3 linked regions of the Lonchura striata genome follow. The protein of the gene in region 1 binds, or shares a complex with, the protein of each later gene. Links are inferred from orthologs where the notes say so. Each region holds a gene or a part of one and is shown on either strand. Other genes may lie near its edges.

Region 1 (7,375 bases):
GCCATCCCAGTAAAGACACTCCAGCACAGGTACCCCAATATGGGCACCTGGGCATGGGGCACCCCAAAATGGGCATCTCAAAATGGGCATCCCGTCACACACCTCAGCATGGGGACTGCAACATGAGGTGCTTCAATATGGGCACCCCAAAACGGGTACCCCAGTATTGTCACCTGGAGACAGGGCACCCTGGCTCAGTCACGCCACCCTGAGTGTCCTGTAAAGGACACTCCAAAAAGGGCATCATGGTGTGGGATTCCTGGCAAGGACACTCCAACACAGGCACCCCAATATGGGTACCCAGGTATGGGACATCCCAAAACGAGCACCCCAAAATTGACATCCTGTCATGGGAACCCTGGCTGGACCCTTGGAGGCTGAACAGCCCCAATTTCGTTTCTTCCCTTCAATTACACGTGTCTTTCCTTGTGATTTACATAAAAATCACAATTAACATAACCAAGCACAACCTCTTTAAACATCATTGGGATGTGAAACCCACAGAGTGCTTTGAGTGCCAGCAATACGGAGAAACCTCTTGGAAGCACTGCCACAGGGGAGAACCAAAAAGCAGCCCAGACCCAGCTCCATCGGGGATGTGATGGCTGGGATTGTGCTTTGTGGGACTCAGCAGAGCTCTCCCAAGGCACAGCATTCCTTAGGGATACTCTCTGTCAGTGGCTGGAGAGGGAAGATTCCTTCCCTGGGAATGCTGTCTATGTATGTGCAACAGGGAAAACAGGAGGTGGCGTAATTTATTAAAAAAAACCTAAAAAATATCTGACCTGCAAAAGCCAAGAAAGACAAAAGCTGGGAATTTTAAGATTTAGGTATCACTGGTGGCAGCAATTAGGTTTAAAGCAATGCTCTTAACTAAAGGTGATCATAAGAGGATCCCAAACCCGTCAGCAATCACAGGAAGAAGAGTGAAAAAGTCAGTTGTGTCCCAAATACAATTTTTATGGCTGAACTATGTCAGGCTATCTCAGGAAGAGAAATCCTTGGAAATTCAGTCGGGAGGGATCAAGTCTCGAGTCCAAATCCATCTGTAGGAGATGCTCCCCATCCCTCGGGGTGCTGCATCTCCCAGCCTGGGCTTCCCTGCCTGGTGGTGTGAGGGTGTGACAGAGTGACAGTGAGACAAAGTGACAGTGTGACAGCGTGATAGTGTGACAAAGTGACAGTGTGACAGTGGCTGAGCTCCACTGCAAAGGGCTGGGTCAAAACAAGGGATTTTCACAAGGTTTTTGGGGATCCCCTCACAGAGCAGCCCAGTCAGAGGCAGGGGGGCAGTAGAGGGGACAGTGACAGCACAGGTGGGCACAGCCAGCCCTTCCCAACCACGGGCTCATCCTGGTAGCTGGATGTTCTCCAGACCATGAGGACTCCAGCAAACAGAACTCTTCCCTTTGACTTTTTCCCTTAAAAAGGGAAACCTCCTTTTTCCTTTAAAAAGGGAAAACCCCTCCTGCATAGGGGCTGATGTGTGCAGCTATTTCTGAATAAAATCAACACAACCCCTGAGCTGAGCTCTTCTCTCTGCCCCGGGACCAACACAAACAGGCTGCAAAACCCAGGCTGAAGGCAGAGAACAAAAGGAAAAACACGGGGAGCAAGAGAAATCCTTTTCCTTCTCCTGTTGTGCAGCAGCTCAGAATCCCAGGTGAATCTTGGCAAGGTCGTGTCTCCTTTTTGTTTGCAAGCTCCTTTCTCTTTAGTTCCCTCCTTTCCCCGATGCTGGAATCCTGCTCTGAAGATGAAGATGGGGTGGGAATGCAGCCCCTGTGCATTTTGTTTTCCCTCTCCCGTTCCCTGTCCCACCCACCTGCAGTGGGGACATGGCACCCACAGGTGGGGGCTTGTTCAGGGGTGTTGGGCACGTGGGTAGAGGACAAGCTGTGGTCACAGGGACACCAAACCACTGCCCACTCTGTGCCCACACGTGTGGGGACACTCACAAAGCTCCATGTCTGCCTGGCCATCACCCATCGTGTCACCTGTCACAGCTTTCCCACACCGACACTGGTCACCTGGGGCAGTGGGTGACGGTGTTTAGTGGGTGCTCAGGTGTGGCAGCCCGTGGAGCTGCATTCCCAATAAAGACATGAAATAGATCCCAAAATTTGGCTCTATCAGCTGTGCAGCCACTGCTGACACCCACGGGCAGAGGGGAGAGGTGCAGCTCTGCCAGCCCCACTCTGCGGGACCCCCACCCCATGGAAGGAGCTGCAGCCCCATGCTGGGATCCCATCCCTGTGAAGGTACCCCTGATCCCATGTGGGGACTCTCAGCCCCAGAAAGGACCTGCAGACCCATGGAGGCGTCTCCATCCTTATGGAGAGTTCTCCAGCCCCATGCAGTGACCCCCGACCCTGTGCAGGAACTCTGAGCCTCAGAAAGGACCTGCAGGCCCACAAAGGGACCCCCATCCCCACAGAGGGACCTCCATCCCCATAGAGGGACCCCGTTCCCACGGGAGGACCTTCATCCCCACAAAGGGACCCCATTCCCACGGGAGGACCCCCATCCCCTGGAAGGACCCCCATCCACATGGAGGGAGCCCCATCCCCATGGAGGGACCCTGTTCCCACGAAAGGACCCCCGGTCCCCATGGAAGGACCCCCATCCCCAGGGAAGGATCCCCAGCCTCACGGAAGGACCCTCATCCCCACGGAAGGACCCCCATTCCCACGGAAGGACAAGGACCCCCATCCCCACGGAAGGACCCCTGTCCCCACGGAGGGACCCCGTCCCCATGGAGGGATCTCATTCCCACGGAAGGACCCCTGTCCCCATGGAGGGACCCCGTCCCCATGGAGGGACCCCGTCCCCACGGAGGGACCTCATCCCCACGGAGGGACTCAATCCCCATGGAGGGACCCCATTCCCACGGAAGGAGCCCCATCCACATGGAAGGAGCCCCGTCCTCATGGAGAGACCCCCCATTCCCACGGAACGACCCCCGTCCCCATGGAGGGACCTCATTCCCACGGAAGGACCCCTGTCCCCACGGAGGGACCCCATTCCCACGGAGGGACCCCATTCCCACGGAGAGACCCCCGTCCCCACGCGCGTCCCCGCCGCGCGCGCCCGCGCTGCCACGTGGGACCCGCGGGAGCGCGCGGCGGGGGCGTGGCCCGTGACGGGGCGTGGCCAGCGCTGGGACAGTGACACCAGTGGCAGCAGTGACGCGGCTGTCACGGGGCGGGGAGGGGATGAACCCCAGAATAATTCAAGTGTAAGCGACAACACTGCGCCATCAGCTCCCACCTTCCTGCTCCGGCAGGGCCATCCCAGAGCACACAGGGCGCAGGATTGTGTCCAGATGGTTCTGGGATGTCCCCAGTGAGGCAGACCCCACGCTTTCCCTGGGCAGTGTGTTCAGTGCTTGATCACCTGCACAGCAAAGTTCTGCCTCACGTCCAGGTGGAAGTTCCTGGGCATCAGTTCCTGCCCGTTCCTCTGGTGTCACTGCTGTGCCCCACGGGGCAGAGGCTGGGCCCTGCTCTGAGTCCTCCCTGCAGACACACAGGGCTCAGGGCTGCTACTCTGGAGGCTGAACAGCCCCAGGCCCCAGCCGTTCCTCGAATGAGAGATGCTCCAGTTCCTTCATCATGTCCAAAGCCCCTATTCCAGCAGCTCCACATCTCACTGATCCCGAGAAACCCAGAGCTGGACACAGCACTCCAGCTGCGCCCCAGCAGGGCTGAGGAAGGGGCAGGACCAGCTGCCATGTCCTACCACCGATGCTCTTCCTAACACAGCCTGGGACCCCACCGGCCTCTTCGCCCCGAGTTCAGGTCCAGCAGCTCATTAAATACTCAGTTTGCTCCAAGCTCTTCCAGGGTTGCGGTTTTCTCTCGTGCGTTTGCAGCTGTTTGCTGTTTCCATCCCATGGGATAAGAGGGGCTGGATGCCCCCGGCCCTGCGTCCTCCTGAGGGGCAGAGTGGGCGGAGCATACACAAGTTAGTGGGCGTGGCTTTGCTGAAGGGGCGGGGCGGGCTCGGGGCGTGACCGAACACGTCGTGAGGGGCGTGGCCTGAGCGCGGTGGGCGGGGCTGGAGAGCGGCAGCGAGGCGGACGGTGAGTGGCCAGAGAGGGAGGGGGCGTGTCCGGAGAGCCGGGCGGCGGGGCAGCGCCGCGGTGCGGAGGCGTGTCCAGACACTTGGAGGCGTGTCCTAGGCGCTGGGGGCGTGGCTGGAGAGCGGCGAGGCGGCAGGGGCGTGGCCAGACGGAGTGGGCGGGGCTGGAGAGCGGCGCAGCGGACGGTGCTGGCCCGGGGGCGTGGCCGCCGGTCGGGCGTGGCCATGTCGGGGGCGTGGCCGAGCCCTCAGCTGACCGGCCGCCATTTTGTCGGTGCCGGATCCCCAGCGCCGCCTGGAGCTGCGCCCGCGGCCGGGGTCGCCCGCGCCCGCCCGTCCGCCAGGGCAGCTCCGCCCGTGCCCTGCCGCTCCCCTCGGCATGTGAGCGCCCCGGCACCGCTGCTCTCACCCGGCTCGAGCGGCAGCAGCACCGCGGCGGCCCCCCCGCCCGGGCCCGGCCCCTCAGCCCGGCGCAGGCCCCGCCGCCGCCATGGCGCTGAAGATGGTGAAGGGCAGCATCGACCGTATGTTTGACAAGAACCTGCAGGACCTGGTGCGCGGCATCCGCAACCACAAGGAGGATGAGGTGAGGGGACCCTTCCCTGTGCTCCGGCCCGGCGATGTCGCTGCTGGCCGCTGGGGCTGTGTCTGCGAGGGAATGTTGGTTTGGGAAGGGGGAAGCGGGAGTCAGAACGAGGAAGGTGACGCTGGGGTGTGGGGCAGGAGGGACAGGCTGGGGGACAGCAGGAGAGTTAGTAAGGGAGGGCCATGCTTGGTGCTCACCTTTCCATTCACTGTGTTGTGGTGTTGAGATCCGTGATATACATACGGAGATATATATATGTGTAGACATATGCACACATATATACACGCAAATGTATGCATGATTATTATAGAGGAATAATGGAGAGGGATTCCTTCCTCACCAGCCCTACAGTCACGTGCTGTAGTCAGCTATGTATTCTTCACCCTGAAGCTGTTATACAGGAGGATGAAGCTCCTAATTCAGCTTTCAGACCATTCATGTTTAGTACCTCCTGACTAAAATGTCCTTCTCTCAGAGCTGTTCTAGGCAGCAATCATTTCTCCGTGTCGGCCTGTTATCCACTCTTGTGTGAGAAGCACGTGATCAGGAAATTAGTATAGGTGAAGTAATTAGTCATCAAGAACGTGTTATGTGAGACTCCACAGTAAAGTGTCACATGGTAATTGAGAAGTAACGGGCCCCAATGTCACTTGTGTTCATCTTCAAGTAACTCATGAAGCTTGAGGAGCTTTCTTAATATTGGTCTAACAGCTGGGCTTTGCTAGTGTGTTGGGGGATGGCTCTAGAGTCAATATCAGCTATCAAAAGCATCTGGAAAAGTTGTAAACTTTTAACTGAATGAAGAACTTTACTAGGAAAACTGATCTTCTTGCTGGTGCTATTGAGCTGAAACACAAAATACAACTTCCAAAATCTGTGTAAGCCCCTTGTGCACAGGACAAGGGGTTGTTTGGTAGTGAGCATACCTGGGAAATTTCTGTTTTTCACAGAGTGACAGAATATGCTGTGTTGGAAGGGACCCACCAGGATCATTGAATCCAATTTATTTTGGTATATGTTAAATTTATGGTATTGGTTTGATGGCAGAGGAAGGCAGGGCTGCTGTGCAGTGCCCTGAAAAATGTGTGAAACACCACAAAGCAGCAACAGCTTATTTGTATGGAATTTATGAGCCTAGTGTGTTGTGCTAGAGCAGGACCTGGTGAGCAGTATTCTTATGGAGCCCCTCCAATGTGTTGTGCTGCTTTTAGTAAATCTGCTTTATTCCTTTGTGCATAGGACAAAAAGTGTTTCATCAGCTGTCAAACCCCTGAGGATCCTTCTGGTGAAGGTCCAGGCCTTTGTGGCACTGGTTCTTTGAGAAGTATTGAATGCTTTTTCTAAAATAATTTTGTGACAAACAGCTTCGTAAAGAGAGTTCAGAAGCACACCGAGCTTGTTCTCAGTCTGTGATAAGAAATGGTTAAAATGAATTGGCCTTTGTGCCCTTTGGCGTTAGGAAAAAAACACTCCTTGGACAATTTTGTAGGGCTGTGTGGGAAGCTGTTACTGGGGTATGTGCACACTCTGGGATTCAGTGAGGTCGGAGCAATACCTTGTGTCAGAACAGCTGGGCTGCAGCATGATGGGATTTTAAACTCTTCAGTTTGGAGTACTAAAGGTGAGATTTTGAAACAGGTAACTGTAGGGATGATTCCTTTTCATATCCTCACGAGCACAGCAAAAATTAAACCCAAACTAGAATGTGTTCAGCTGATTAAGACATTGCACTGGTAAAACCTGTGTGTTTGAGAATCCTTCAAATCATTTCTCTTAGTTCCAGAGAGTGGCTGCAAGTCCAGGAAAGGACTGTGCCTTTTCCTGGCTCAGCTGGAGAGAGCTGTAAATCTGCTGTTGAGCTTTTGGGTGTGGATTCAGTGCTTCCCAGGCAGTGGCCAGGGACATTGGCTAATTTTCAGGTGATGTTACAAAATCTGAATGCTGTTTTAGAGGAACTAGCTGCAGAAATTCTTCCTCTTTTCCCTACAGTGTTTCCATTGTCATTGTATCTGTTTAATGTTGCTCCAGTGCTGTAGTTCAACCAACATTTGTGTGTCTCAAGGTAAGTGTCTATGCCTAAGACAGAAACACTATCCTGTTCAGAACAGCAAATTTGTTTAAAACAAACAGTGTGATTTAGTGGGGAGGATATTGACTATTGGTCTTGGCTCAACAGGAGTTTCTCCAGGAAGAGTTCCAGTCTCTGGAAAAGAGCTACTGTGGTTGTTAAATATCAGTGATAGGAAGAGAAATGAAGGCAAGATTGTTGTTTTGACTTCTGATTTACTTGTGCTTTTTGCAGGAGGTTAGTTTATTTACATGTCTTGGGTTTTGTGTTTTGGAATTTAATCACATGGAAAAATCTGCCATCACTTATTCCCTCATCTCTCTGGACAGTCTGTCCTGGTAGATCTGAGACGGAAAGTTTTATTCCTTTCCACTTCTTACGCAGATACCACATGAGCATATCTGGTATTTCACAGCCCATCGAGGCTGTACCAGTGCCTGGTACCCCAGTTCACAGTGGGGCTTTTCAGTGCAGTTCTTTGACAGCCCCATTGTCTTCTTGCTTGGTGGGTTTGTGTTCTTCCTATGTTGCTGTGACCCTAAATCTCACATGCCAAGGTGTGTCCTGAAGTCAGAGCAGGCCACATCTCTTCACTGATAAGTTTTGGGTGCTCCTCAGCTCCTTAGAGGAGGTGAGAG
Region 2 (7,094 bases), on another chromosome or scaffold:
TTGTTTTTAAAAGGAAGTAGTCCTTTGAGAATAGTCAAAAGTTGACTCAAATCAGTGTTTGGTAGACATAACAAAATATGCAGTTTCCTCTGTGCTTTCACCAGTAGCAATTACAGCCTGCATGAGAATTTGTGCAGCATTTAATCTACTGTCTGATGAGCTTTCCAATAACACACTTGCATGGCACCTCTGTTCAATTTAGTTCCAGTATAAATCTTCTAACTGCTGGCAAGAGAGTTCCATCTCTTATCAACAGAACAATATTAGATTCTGAATAATCGAACAATATTAGATCCTGAATAGCTGCAGTTCCCTTTGGGACCTGTAAGAATAGAAAGCTTTGCTGGAAAAGCTAGAGTTTCTTAGAAAAAAAACCCACACCAAAACAATTACAAATTCCTTGCTAAAACTACATTTTTACATGGAAATGGAACATTTTGAACACTACTTAGATCTGAATCAGTAGGTTTAGGACTACTAACGGACGATTTAAGAAATTCACTCTCTGAAAGCAGTAGAATAGACAGATAGGGCCAAATGGACAGAGATAAAGTGAGTCTCATGTCACATATTTACTGTCCATAATATTTTCGGGAATATAATTAGGCTCATATTCCAGCCAAACCATTAAGAACTCTGAATGGACAAGGCAGAAGGATTCAGTCATAGGATATCAAAGCCCCAACTCAGCAACTCTTTGTGAAGATGTTTTCCACCATGCTCACCCAGTTCACTCCTCCAGTAAGTCTGACAGGCCAGAACAACAGTGCTCCTAGCTTTATACTACTGTGTTTCACAGGCTCTCTTTCAAGAGGCACTCAAGGTTCCAGAAAGGACAAGCACAGTGCCAGAGAGCCATGCACTACTGGAACACTCCATCAGAGCCAGCAAGCATCACTGGAACTCTGCTGTGCATGACAGCCCTTCCCAATGTGTGTGCACTCTGCCCCAGCCAGTCCAAACACAAGGCAGAAAGAAGGCACATAAACACTTCCTTCTCCTCCAAGAGGACAGAGCAAAGCAGCCCCCCTAATTATTTTATCTTGTATGAATGAATCTCATGAATACTCTAAGAAGTTCCTGTTAAAAGGCTGCCTTTCATACATTATGTTAAATAAGCATAAAAAAGATTCAACTTATCTTCGTTGTATTAATTTTTTGAAGTTATATGTGAAGCTGTAAGTTGGAGATAAAATAAATGGATATAAAAGGAAGGAACTTAACACTTAAAAAAAATAATTTGTTTAATTTATTGCCATTATTACAGCCATAAAATACAGTCACCACTCATCTCCTACTGTTCAGACTTCTCTACCTCCAGGACTTCAATTTCTCTTTTCTGAATCCTCATGACAAGGTTTTTATTAAAGATTCCTCATGTAAGGAGATCTTTATATGAGAGAATAATTGGGATTTAGCTGATCTTGCACAACAGAAAATTTAATTTCTGAATAAAACCAGCAAAATCAAACATGAGAGGGCATAGGCTATTCATCAAGTTTGATTTGCCATTTGCAAGGAATTTTCAGATATGTGCATACAGGCAGCAAGGAATCTATTTGTCCTCTTTCCCCCAAAAAAAACCCCAAGTTTGCTTGTTTTGAGTTAGCATGCAATATGACAGATGTTTTACAGAGCAATATCATTCAGATATTTCATCTTCTCTTTTTTTTCTCTTCAATAAATAAATGAGAAGCTATGTATGATTCAAACCCGCCGGGAACTGCCACAGCAAAATCATTCTCATGGTTGTCACAGTCAGTTCTTTTGTAAAACATTGTTTCCATCATTTTACCTCATGCATGAGTAACTGAAGTTGGTTTTGCTTTTCTTGTAAAGTACCTTTTCCTCTCCCATACTGCAGTCTGCCTGCTATGAACAAAAATTTTCATCATTCAAGTATGATTTTTTGTCTGGTTGGTTATAGAAGAGCTACACTGAATAGTGATGCTATTCCTCCAGTTTGATTAACACTTAATGGGTACGAACGATCCATCATACTGAAAAGACGGTAAGTGCATTACTAATTCACAGCAGATTTGAACTGAAACAAAAGAAAAGAACCGACAACCTCTACTCAGTTGCCGCTGGGTACTGAACAGGGCGGGAGCGATGTGCAGCGCATAGTGATGGATGATAACGCGTTTATTCCCAGCGCATATTAGGCAGATCCGCACTCACAGGGCCCCTCGCTAATTAAGCGGTTACAGCTGGAGTAGAAACACCACGGCTGCAGCAGGGCTGCTGAAGATCGACCCAGGTGAGCCGGCGCCGCTCCCCGGCCCGCCCTGCCCCTCCCGGCCCGGCGTGGCTGCGGCTGCCGCACCGCCCCGCTGCAGGCCCCGCGCTGCCCGGTCCCCCTCACGGCCCTGCGCCTCACGGCGGAGCGTGAGCGCTGCACCCCGCCGCTACCGCCTCTGCACGCTCCGCCGGGCGGTTCCGCACCTCCGCCGCAGCCCAGAACAACGGCGTGGGGGATGGTACTCGAACACGGCGACGATTTTGTATTTAAATGGGCACCGAACAAAACGGGAAGTCTCGGATTTGCAGGGCAGCCTCCCGGTACCGCCGCTGGCGGGGATGTCGCCCCTGCCCGGCGTCGGCCGACCAGCGCGACCGGGATCGGGCACGGGCGGCTCCCGCCCGGCAGGGATCCCGTCCCCCCGGGCACGGACAGAACCGCCCCACTCCCTCACGGCCCGGGCCCCCCGCGCCCCACGTACCTCCCCCGGCCCGGCACGGCCCGTCCCGCTCCCGGGACAGCGGCCAAGATGGCGGCGAGGCCCGGCGGCGGCGCGGGGCCGCCCCCCGGCGGAGGCGCGGCCGGCCGGGGCGCTGCCTGCGCCGAGCGCCCGAGCACGGCCCCCTCGCTCCCCGGGCCCGCCGGCCCCGCTGCCACGGCCGCCCCTCGCCGCCGGTCAGCACCGCTCGGCCCCTTCGGCCGGCAGGAGACGGGAGCGGCCCCCGGGCGCTAAACCCACCCGGGCCGGCGCCGCGGCAGCGCGCGGCTGGGCAGGGACGGCGGGCGGTCCGGCTCCGCTCCCCGCCCCGTCAGGCGCCCGGCGCGGCCGTACGTTCGTCCCGGCGCCCCCGCCCCCCGGTGGCGGTGCCGGCGCGGTCGGCGGGGCGGGCCGGGGCCGGCGGGCGGGCCGAGGGGAGCGGAGCGCGCCGCACGCCGCCCAGCGCGAAGATGGCAGCGGGGGAGCCGCAAGCCAAGAAGCTGAAGCTGGAGCAGAAGCAGCTGAGGTAACGGGCGCCGGGACGGGCTCTGCTTCGCCAGCAATCCCTGCGGGTGCCGGAGGTCGCTGGTGCTACTCCCGGCGGAGGGCGAGACACGTGCCGCCTCCGCGGAGCGGTCGCACTCCGCGGCAGGGTCCCGCCGCGCCGGGCTGCGCGCGGGGGCGCGGGCGGCCCCTCCGCGGCACCGGGCGCACGTGCAGGCGGCGGCGGGGCCGTCCCGCCGCGCTGCCCCGGCGGCTGCGGTGCCGCTGCCCGGGCCCGGCGGGTGCCCGGGGGCGCCGCCGCACTGGGCTCCCCGCAGCCGAGGCAGGGGCGGGTGGGCGGCGCGGGGGTCGCGCTGTGCCCTGGGGTCGGGTCGGTCGGTGCGAATGGGCTGCTGAGAGTCTGGATGGGTTGCGGTAAAACGGAACGCTGCTCGCAACGATGGCCCCGTACTAGAGCACAGCTGGGATTGTCACTGCGTCTGCCTCCCCTTTGAATATAAAATACCCCGATTAATACTCTCGCGAGGGTGTCTCTGTCCCTGTTAGATAGGAAACTGAAAATCCGAGTTAACAGTTACATTTTCTTCAAGACATACCGTATAATTTAAAATATCTTCATATTGAAATAATCTGTGCGATTTGCTATACTTCCTCATTTCTGTGATCACAGTACAATAGCACTGGCTGAATCCCATTTGAATGATGGCCTGCACAGACATAAGTAATTTATTTTTAAATGTCATAGCAGAAAAATGTAAGGTTTCTCAATGGAGGATGCACAGTCAAAATGAGAACTTTGAGTACTGAGAGCTGTAGAGCAGTTTTGGTGGTTTTTTTTTTTTTTTTTGGTACAGTTTCAAGTTTGTTTTCTCAGGATTATTCAGATATTAATATAATTGGAAGATAGCTGACTTCCTTCCAAGTGTTCAGTGTGTGAAGAGAATTAATGACATAAGCCTTGAAAGGTCCAAAATTATCTTGGCGATAACTGATAACCAATAACTCACTCAAATATAGCATAAAGGGGATGTACTTTAGTCCTGAGATGAGAACAATTTTTTTGGTACTGATGTCCTTATTAAAAGAGCTAATCCTATTAAATTTGTCAAAGTCAGGGTACTTGCTTCTTTGGCAGCTAAGTGACTTTTCAAGTTTAGTAATGGTTGACAAGCTCAGTTGCAGATAATAGAAGAGGAAAGATGTAACTGAGCTCTGAAAGCAAATAAATGGCATGCAGCAAGGTAAGGTTATAGTAAAAAAGCAACAGTTATCTCCATGTCTCCTTAAAGCAAGATGAGGGAAGAAACTGGAAGCTGCAATGTTTGTTTATAAAGTTTATTAGAGGAAAAAGCATTTTAAGATGAAATATGAGAAAAATTTCAAATCTGAGAATATTATTGGTGTACCGAGTTAAAAATTTAAAGGTTGTTTGCAGTGGAATGAAAGGCAATGGTGACATACCATGTCTGGTAATGACTGACTAAACTGCAAATACTACTTCTGTAAGGTATGATAGATAAAACAGGAAGAATGTTGTTAGAACTTGCATATGTTAATTCTGTTGCAAGTTATTTCAAGCCAAAGTATAAATAGGCTCCAGTTCTGTTTCATAAGAGGAGAAATGCCATAATTAACTGGTGATCAAATAAAGCTAATGTGTGCTGTTTGCCACAGGTTGAACTCATGAAGCAGTTGGTGGTTGGACTAGATTTAGCAGACTTCAGCACTCATATGAATGTAGTGGCAAGAACATGTTTGGCTGAGTGCTGTTGTGGGACGTAAAAGCAACTAGAGAAGGTACCAGACTGGTCGAGGTTCCATGACTTGGCTGTATTTGTAACGAGATTCAGTTGTAATGCAAAGCACTGCTAGATATGTTTGGAAACGGTTCCTCTATAGATTAGAAAAGAAGTGAAAAATCACTTAATAATTTCGGAGGTCAATAGCATCGTACTTGTTATACCAAGAATTTGAGGGGATTATAGAGAATGATTGCTTGTTCTCAATATGTAGATCTGGGGCTCTCCAGTCTCTTCAGAAAACCATGTCTAATGGATTCAACAAGGCTGGTTGTACCGTATTTATCCTCCCATATGATATCAACCTCAACCTTTCCCATGACTACCATGAAAACTATTTTAGTATAAAAAAATTAATTCTGCAATGCAATACAAGCCATACCTCATCAACAATAGCAAAGGTTTCCTTTCCCTGTTTTTTCTCTTTTTTTTTTTCATAATTTTTTCTCTCAAAGTGGCTTCATAGAGGTTTCATGGTTACATTTTTAGACCCCTTTGATCTTTTCAGGCAAAGGAAAGCAAATATCGCTCCCTCATGAGGTAGGCAAAGCTGACTGGGTTCAGGAAGCTACACTTGTTTGAAAGCAGTATAGGATGGCTGGCTTTTGCCACCCAGTGAGCAGCATACAAAGCCCGAGACCCAAACTGGCATTCCCAGCTCAACAATGTGTTGTGCTGACATTCATCTGCTGGGCGGCAGGTTTTGCATTGTCTTTATTGACTCCTGCAAATCCCCACTACAAACCAATGGGCTTTAGGCAAGGCCATTAATGTGTGCTGCCTTGTTTTGGGCTTCTGACTGCATCTGTGCTCTGTGAACTGCACTGTTTGAACAGAAAATGGGCTTGCAAAACTGCAAATGGCTTGTCATGGAGTGGTAGCACCAACTTACTAGAAACATCATGAGGTGTTACTTTAGAGGAAAATTACTAAGGATTTGTGTTCTTTTATATGTGGTTTTGTTAGGGAAGTCTGTGAAAACCACAGGCAGATTCTCTTAACAGTCTGGTACAGATATGAAAGAATTTGGACGTTTTCTGTAGAAATGTTTGAGCTTAAATGTATGTGTCTGTATAGAAATATGCATGTTCATCTTTTCCTTCTGCACACAAACTTGTCAAGTCCCCTGTGCTGCATTATGACCTTCTGGCTGTTCTGCAGCTGCTGTATTGATTGAATAGTCATGACGTGGCTAGTTGTTTGAACAAATCAGTTTATCTAGTAGGCAATGTAAGCACTGAGTTTGGCAAATAGTTCATGCTAAAAGTAAAAAGTACAGTATTCCTCCTCTTCTGCTACTATTAGAGATCTCTTCATTTTAAGAATAAATTATCAAATACTCTGTGCATAATTGTTATCAAAAGCAGTCTTTTGTCATTACTGTTCCACTAGATTTTAGAAAGCTTGGTACTAGTGGCTGTAAAAAATATTGCTAATTTCACACATTTTAAATTTCCTTAATAAGCTGGCTTTTAATTTAGCTTATTCTTTCATCAGCTCTTTATAAATGAAAGAAGATTTTGAATATTTTAAGTTAGCTGTGGCTAAGCTTTCAGTTAGAATTTAGTAAATAACGTTTTTCTCTCTTTTATCTCTTGGTTTGGGTTTGTATTTTTTTTGGGGGGGGGGCGTTTCTTTTTGTTTTTTAATTTCACCTTACTCCCCATTTGTATTCATTTCAGTTTTTGTCTTCATGGCTTATAGTTTTCTTACTTTTCTATTTCTTATATCTGCAAACACAGGTAGTGTTTTCCGTGTTGGTACACATAATGTCCTCAGGTCAAAGAAGGAGCTGAAACTCAAGCACTTTTCTGTGTTTGTTCCCAGAATTAGAGCAATAGACTTTTTCTTCAGATGAATATTTAGTCTTCTTTAGAAATCAGACAAATACTCTTGAGGACACTAGCCACAGACGTTGCTAATTTTGTTTTATTTAGGATGCAACAGCAGTTACCTTCCCTTCCAAGCTGTGTTGACAGAAATACATCCAAAACCGGAATGACTTGCAGCATGGAAACTCCTGTGCTGTTACAGTGCAGGCACTGGTTTCCATTGTTCAGATGTGTAACTC
Region 3 (7,679 bases), on another chromosome or scaffold:
GGACAGGCTGACAGGTGAAAAGCACAGAGGGAGCTGCATCCATGCCCTCCCTGCTCAGGAAATATTGTGGTGCAAATAATGCAGTTGTGAACCCCAAGAATGGCCTGTGGCTTTCTGCTCACCAGTTCAGCACTGGGTACAGTGGTGTGAGAACTGAGGGCTACAAAGAATTTATCTTCAGATAAGCGGTGTACATTTGGGGTGTTTTTTGTTTTTGAGGCTGAATTGTTCCTGAGCTCAAAATCTTCAATTTTAAGCCAAATATCCTGTTATTCATTCCTGGGAACTGGGCACTAAGTCAACATTTACACTTCTAGTAGAAATGGCAAGAACTCACACGAGAACACCATCCAGCAATGAAACTGGCATTTGGTTTAGGGGAAATGTCAAGGCAGAACCCCTGAGTTGTGAGATAGAGGAGCAGTGGGCGAATAAGAGCTGTGTGAGACACGAGGGTTTTATCAGAACTGAAACATCAGCAGAAGCTCCACCACAGCCCCTCCGACGTCTGCATGCGTTAAAAATAAGGAATAAAATCGGATACTCGCAAGCAGAAAGAAAAAAATGCTGAATTACACAGAAAAAACAGCTGCTGTAGTAGGAAGCTGATTCTGAACTTCTTTACTCATCAGCTAAAGAAAGGGAATGGCTGAGGACAGCGTCGGCTCTAACACAAGCCCTGTAGCATTCCAGGAGCAGAACTTCCAAGAGATTTCTAAAAACAGAATCAGAACTATTCCTTTTCAGATAAAGTTAGCTCATATTCACCAAATTTATCCACTGTAAAGCAAGCTGGATGTTTGCGAAGGCTGTTGAAATCCCTAAGAATTCTTGCTTGAAAGCCCATCTTTAAAAATAAGAGGTTGTTTTAGAAATAAAACCCTCTGGGATGTGTAAAGGTGGTTCTTTAAACATCACCACTGCCATTTCAGCTGGAATCCTGGGTTTTGAGCTTTTCCTCCTTGCACCAATTCATGTCACCAAAGGCTTGCTTAGCTGATAATTATCTGTAGAAACGTTCCTGCTCGAAGCAGCCGGAGCACAGCAGAGTTTGGTGAATTCCCAGGAGCAGAATCCAGCCCCGACTCCCACACACGCTTGGTTTGCCTCGAAAAGCTGCGCCTGGTCCTCCCCCCACTTGGTCAGCATGACTAACACTCACAGGGAACTCGGTGCACAGCTCCTGCCAGGCCCTTCCACATTCCAGCTATTTCACAACCGAGGAAATGCTCCGAGAGACCCATCCGAGCTCCTCGGACCATTTACACCGAGGGGTTCGACTTTAAACAGGATTTACATGACAAACACAAAGCCGTTCTGAGGGGAGGGCGGCTCTGCTTGAGCCATTTCAATTCCTGATGCTCCATCACAGGAAGCACCAACAAACTTGGCAAAGCTGCGGGGTTGGAGCTGCAGAGGTTCAATCGAGGTGAGTTTCCTCACCCTTTCACCCAATGCAATTATTCCAACAGGGAGAGCAGCCCAACAGGGCCTCCAGCACTGCGGATATGTTTGTAGCAGAGAAAAATCAGTGGCATCAAACCACCCCCAAAAACTTTCCTTTCGGAGAACTCCTTTATCCATAAGGCTGTGCTCCTATTTAATTCCATTACAAACCCCATGAATAAAAGCAAAATAGCAATCCTCCACTTCAGCCACACTTCCCTTTTTTTTCCCCCCTAGAAGCGCTCCAAATCAGCAGCAAAAATAGCAATAAAGACTGCTGAATGACCTTGGAAAAATCCACTTTGCCTCGGTTTCTCTGCCTGGAAAATAAGGTCAATGGAATACCCTGCAAAGGGGTGCTGCGAGCCTCGCAAGACAAAGCTCAAAGTATTACATAAATACTTGGAATTTTAGTTATTGACAAAGCTACAATTTCAACACCAGACCTCTAGTCGCGACTCTAATCAACCTGTGGAATTTGCTTTGGCAGGAGCAGAGCAGCAAAGCCACAAACAAGGTCAATGTCAAACACGACAACATTTGGGGCAGTTTTATGGCCCGGCAGAGTCTCGGTCTCGCTGTGCTGGGGCAGAGCCGGGCTATCACTTCATCACACCGAGCTTTATCAGCCCCGAAGTATCACGTTCGCCTCGCACCACGGAGTATTTTCAGACAGAATATAATATCCTCCCACCGGGAGCTGCTCCGCCAAGGAAAGCTGATCTCCCACACCACCAAACCCAAGGCGATAGGCGGCAAAAAAGAATTGTTTGCTCCACGATAAAGCTCTGCCCAGCAAGAAAAAACACCAACTCAGCAGCCAAGGGCTTAGGGAGAAACAACCTCTGCCCTGCGAGCTCCATCCCAACCTCATTCCCGCACCCCACGAGGGTTTTGGGGGGGAGAGGAGGAGGAGGAGGAGGAAATGCCTCTCCTTGCTCGGAGCCGTCCGCGGGCGGGGCAGAGGCCGGAATGAGCGAGTTTGGGGAAGGGAGGACAAACCCATCCCGTCTAATGCCATCGCTAGAGGGAGCGGAGCGGGGCCTTGTGCAGCTGCTGCCGAGCTGCGGCGATTCCCCTCGGCCAGCCCTGCCTCTCCCTCCCCATCCCACCCACGAGCGGGGAAGCCAAAGGCCCGACCCCCCCACAAAGACGTGGAAAGGGCGGACGGGTGGAGCAGCGCCGCTCCCGGGGAGCTCTGGGTCTGTGGGAGAAAAGGAATGAGTAGGGATAAGGTGGCGTGAGAGAAGGAATTAAAAGCAATGGGAAGGAACGAGCAGGAAAGCACCGCCCGGCCCCGCTGCCTCAGCGCCAAGGCCGCGGGATGCGGGGCGGGGGCGCGGCGCGGCGAGCCGGAGAGGGGGCGGGGGGGGGAAGGAAACGAAAAGGCTGGAAAGGAGGGAAGAAGAAGGTGTCGGCAAACGCACCGGCGCGGTCGGGAGGCGCGGGCCGTGGGTCTGGCAGCGCTCGGAGGGTCCCGCTCGGAGCCCGCTGGCCGCGATCCGCCCTGGAGCACAAGATGGCGGCGCGCTGCGGCCACGTCAGTGCCCGCCCCGCGCGCGGCGCCACGGGCAGGCCGGGCGCGAGCGGGGGGCGTGGCCTGCGCCGGGGGGGCGTGGCCACGGCGGGGCGCCGCAGGGCCGGCGCGAGGGGGCGTGGCGTAGAGGCGCAATGGGCGTGGCCACGGCGGGAGCGAGGCTCTGTGGGGATGGGGGCGTGGCCTGGGAGTGGGCGTGGTCATGGTGGGAGTGACGGTATCAGGAGGGGGCGGGGCCTGGGTTGGCCACGCCCACTCCGCAGCGCGGGGCCGGGATCCCCCGGGAATGGGATGGGATAACGGGATAACGGGGTGATGGGATAACGGGATAACGGGATAACGGGGTGATGGGATAACGGGATACCGGGATAACGGGGTGATGGGATAACGGGGTGATGGGATAACGGGATAACGGGATAACGGGGTGATGGGATAACGGGATAACGGGGTGATGGGATAACGGGGTGATGGGATAACGGGATAACGGGGTGATGGGATAACGGGATAACGAGGTAACGGGGTGATGGGATAACGGGATGACGGGATAACGGGATGATAACAGGGTGGGACGGGGCTCGTGGGGACCGAGCCTGCCCTTCCCGCTCAGCTCCCCTTTCCCTGCACTGTGCCCTCCCCTTTCCGTGCGCCGTTCTCCTCCCGCGCCGTTCCCGCTTCCCTTCACGGTTCTTTTCCCGTTCCCCGTTCCCCTTTCCCTGCAGCGTTCCTTCACCTTCTCTACACCATTCCTTCCCTCTTCCCTGCACTGTTCCCCCTTCCCTTCATAGTTCCCCCTTTCCCTGCTCTGTTCCCGCTTCCCTTTACCATTCCTTACCTGTTCCCTGCACTTCTAATCATTCCCCCTTTCTCTTCACCATTTCCTTTTTCCTGCACCATTCCCCCTTTCCCTGCACCATTCCCCATTTTCCCTGAACCATTCCCCCTTTTTCCTGGACCCCTTTTCCCTGCACCATTCCCCCTTTCCCTACATCATTTCCATTTCCCTGCACCATTCCCCCTTTCCCTGCACCATTCCCCATTTTCCTGCACCATTCCCTTTTCCCTGCACCATTCCCCTTTTCCCTGCACCATTCCCCTTTTCCCTGCACCATTCCCCTTTCCCTGCACCATTCCCTTTTTCCTGCACCATTGCCTTTTTCCCTGCACCATTCCCCCTTTTCCCTGCACCATTCCCTTTTCCCTGCACCATTCCCCCTCTTTCCTGGACCCCTTTTCCCTGCACTATTCCCCCTTTCCCTGCACTATTCCCCCTTTCCCTGCACCATTCCCTTTTCCCTGTACCATTCCCCCTTTCTCTGCACCGTTCCCTTTTTCCTGTACCATTTCCCATTTTCTTGCACCATTCCCCCTTTCCCTACACCATTCCCCCTTTCCCTACATCATTCCCTTTTCCCTGCACCATTCCCTTTTCCCTGTACCATTTCCCTTTTTCCTGCACCATTCCCCTTTTCCCTGCACCATTTCCCCTTTCCCTTCACCATTCCCCCTTTCCCTGCACCATTCCCTTTTCCCTGCACCATTCCCCCTTTTCCCTGCACCATTCCCCCTTTTCCCTGCACCATTCCCCTTTCCCTTCACCATTCCCTCTTCCCTGCACCATTCCCTTTTCCCTGCATCATTCCCCTTTCCCTTCACCATTCCCTTTTCCCTGCACCATTTCCCCTTTCCCTGCACTATTCCCTTTTCCCTGCACCATTCCCTTTCCCCTGCACCATTCCCTTTTTCCTGCACCATTCCCCATTCCCAAAGCAGCCCACGATCCTCTCTGAGCTCCAGCTTCTCTGTACCTCAGTTTCCCCCACAGAGGGAAAATTCCTTTAAATTTTTTTTACCTCAGCAAATAATTTTCCTAATTTAAACTAGTATTAATTCGTTTATTACACAGCACAGAGGGAACAGGTCAGCACAGCAGGATCTTAACTCCACGTGGAAATAGAATAATGCACATGGTCCCAAAGCTCAAGAGGTGGGTGTAGAAACAACTGTGCACAAAAAAATTCAGGCTTATCTCCTTTCTGTTTTGGGTTAACTTTGAGATAAATCGAGGTCGTGTGCTGTCCCAGGCTAAATACTAAATACTTCCTTTGTTAACGAGAAGTTTTGAAACAGAGCAGGAAGCCACCAAAACTGCTTATTTCTAGATTTCCCCTCGATGCTCATAGGAGATAAGTACCTCAAAGTCCTCCATCCTCTGTTGGAATCACCCAGCATTACACAGAGAAGGCAGACAGGCAGATGGGCGTGAGCCCAAAAGCTTCTTTTCCTAAAATAATTGGGTCACACGCAAAAGAAATGGCAGCAACAGGGCTGAGAAGTGCCAGGAGGGAGTCTGGGCAGGAGGGAAGATCATCCCTGTGCTTCTTCCAGGGAGGCACCACCCCCATGCAGAGCAGGTTTAAATTCATATTATTATTTTGCTTAAGAAAGCCCCTAAATTGCATTAAATCTCCCCAGACGGTCACTCAGCAGCAGCAGCACTGATGGGCTAAGAAAGTGATGGCAAGGACACGCTGAAAATTCAAATTAATCCTGTTTTCCTGCACTGTGGAAGCTGGGCTGGCTGACATGGGGGGTTTCAGGGAGAGGAGGATGCTCCAGGGGACAGATTGCTGCCCAGGCATGGACAGCTCCCACTGGGATCACAGATGTCCCTGTCCCCTGCCTTTGTGACCTGTTTGGGACACAGCAGCCTCCAGGACCTGGTTTGAAAGAGTCTGAGTTGAACCAAAAATACCAAGTGAGATTTAAAGAGAATAAAGAGACTTTGCACTTGCTCAAGGCTTCTGGGGAGAATCTGCCTCTGTCCTTGCTGGATATTTTGGGTGAGCCCTGGGGCAGGAGCTGAGCTGGGTGTTTCTGTGTGTCTGTGACAACAGGAAGGTGCTTTTTCAGCAGAAAAAACCTGAATTTCTCCCCATCCCCAAATCCCCTCCTGGCCCCAGCTGAGCCAAGCAGCCCTTGTTTCACAGCTCTGTCTCCATGCCCGGGCAGTGAACCAGATCAGGGCTGCTCTGAGTTAAAAATAACCCTCCTCTCCTTTTCTTTTCCTTTTTTTTCTTTGGCTTTATTTTTAACCCAGAGCAGCTCCTCGTTTTAGCTGCCTCAGGGGAGAAGATGCTCAACCCCACCACCCCACCAGGGTGAAAATCCAGCTGCAGGGCGAATCAGAGGAGGTTATTTCATTATTATCACCCATGACACATCACCAGGGAGATCTGATTTCGTTATTCTCATCCTCTGGAGACCTGAGGGGACGCTGAGCTCGAGGTCTCGTCCCTCTGATTCATTGCTGTGATGCAGCTGGAACCCTTTGCCCTGTGACTCACAGCATTCGTGGAGAGAAGAAAGAAGCCTCCGTTTCTTTTTCAGCTGAGGGAGCAGAAATGCCCCTTTGCTTCCTTCCATCCTAAGAAAAACTCATGTGGGACAAGGACAAAACAGGAAGGGATCTCTCAGGGCAGCTCAGCTCATTTTCTGGGTGCTCCCGGGGTTCCAGAAAACTCCCTGGCTTTTCCTGGATGGCCCCTTTGGAGCTGGAGACTTTTCCTCCCTGCTGGGAGCCTCTGATGACAAATCTGCAGCTGAAATACACCCTGTTCTCACTGCCCTTTTGGATTAAAAAAAAAAAAAAAAAAAAAAAAAAAAAAAAAAAAAGGTGTTTGTGCAAGGCGATTTCTGAGGTTATAAAAATATCACCTGGAGTCTCAAAGCGCTTCCCAAGCCCTGCTTTTCCTTCTGCACCTTCCCCGAGGGAAAAACACCACAGGCTGGGTTTGCTCTTGCTTCAGGGCCCCCCAAAATAATCTTTTCTCCCAAGTGTGGGCAAGTTGTCTTTATTGAGAAGATTCTTGATGAGAACATTTGGTATAATGAGGTGGTGGAGACCCTTGAGCAGGCGGCAGCGATGTCCAACCATTAAATCCCTCCTGGTGGTGATGGAAAATTAATTTTGGGGTGGACACCCACCCCAAAAGAGTGGAAGGGGCTGAAGGACACTGGGACCCATCACCGCTCTGTTTTCTGCTGCCCTGGAGCTCCTGGCTGCTGTCAGGTTGAGGATTTCTCACCTCTGAGTCTCTCACCTGAAGGTGAGAATTGCAATTACGAACAGGAGCTGAGAAATTACAACACCCTCCGCCCCTCCAGCAATTTGCTATGTTGCCTACCAAAAATAGCCATGATTCCTGGGATTTCTGGTCCTGGGGTCACCTCCAGATGGGCTTGGGCTGTTGAAAAGACGACAGTTCTAATGTTGCTGCTCGTGTTTCACCATCCTGGACGGAAAAGGAAGGTGGAAAGAGGAGAAAAGCAAAAAAACTCTACACAGCTGCATGGAGAGGCAGAAAAATCAAGAGTATTCAGATCCAGAGCTGTTATTTTGCTGTGGTTTCTCCTCTCAGAGCTGATTTAGGTGGCAGAAGGATCCACTCAGCTGGAGCACCTTTGAGAGCCCCTTGGCTGTGGCGCGGAGGGCTGGAGAGCAGAGGGAGCAGATCAGCTCCGTGCTCCCAACACCGACTCCCAGGGATGTTGGGAAATTGCCTCACCTCTCTTGGCCTCATTTTTTCCCCTCCTTCTCTTGGAAGCAGCTGCACGTCATGACTCGGTGGCGTGCAGGGGAACCTGGCAGTGAAGATGTTCAACCTCAGCACTGCTGACTGCTGGCACCTCGGGAGGA

The links.
Region 2: the proteins of AP3D1 (region 1) and AP3M1 are in contact, whole or in part, in a cryo-EM structure (PDB 9C5C), measured with the Homo sapiens proteins. The link is inferred for Lonchura striata from reciprocal best matches to the Homo sapiens genes AP3D1 and AP3M1. Residues at the interface, in NP_003929.4 of Homo sapiens: Lys29, Glu388, Gly389, Thr390, Thr391, Arg393, Glu429, Arg432; in NP_001307192.1 of Homo sapiens: Ser25, Ser27, Asp30, Tyr31, Glu34, Pro52, Asp104.
Region 3: the proteins of AP3D1 (region 1) and ARF1 are in contact, whole or in part, in a cryo-EM structure (PDB 9C5B), measured with the Homo sapiens proteins. The link is inferred for Lonchura striata from reciprocal best matches to the Homo sapiens genes AP3D1 and ARF1. Residues at the interface, in NP_003929.4 of Homo sapiens: Lys48, Asp50, Phe77, Ile80, Glu81, Ser84, Asp107, Met110, Leu111, Thr112, Thr113, Asn114, Gln115, Arg117, Lys118; in NP_001019397.1 of Homo sapiens: Tyr35, Ile46, Pro47, Thr48, Ile49, Gly50, Phe51, Asn52, Val53, Glu54, Trp66, Lys73, Ile74, Leu77, His80, Tyr81, Gln83, Asn84.

Annotation. Positions count from the first base shown.
Region 1 is NC_134630.1:2,845,425-2,852,799, reverse strand, and holds the start of AP3D1 (AP-3 complex subunit delta-1), read left to right. Parts: upstream 1-4,362; 5' UTR 4,363-4,573; coding exon 4,574-4,669; intron 4,670-7,375. UniProt on the Homo sapiens protein: Part of the AP-3 complex, an adaptor-related complex which is not clathrin-associated. The complex is associated with the Golgi region as well as more peripheral structures.
Region 2 is NC_134609.1:11,960,468-11,967,561, reverse strand, and holds the start of AP3M1 (AP-3 complex subunit mu-1), read right to left. Parts: upstream 3,007-7,094; 5' UTR 2,982-3,006; intron 2,817-2,981; exon of another isoform or gene 2,724-2,816; intron 1-2,723. UniProt on the Homo sapiens protein: Part of the AP-3 complex, an adaptor-related complex which is not clathrin-associated. The complex is associated with the Golgi region as well as more peripheral structures.
Region 3 is NC_134603.1:154,872,856-154,880,534, forward strand, and holds the start of ARF1 (ADP-ribosylation factor 1), read right to left. Parts: upstream 3,007-7,679; 5' UTR 2,874-3,006; intron 1-2,873. UniProt on the Homo sapiens protein: Small GTPase involved in protein trafficking between different compartments. Modulates vesicle budding and uncoating within the Golgi complex. In its GTP-bound form, triggers the recruitment of coatomer proteins to the Golgi membrane.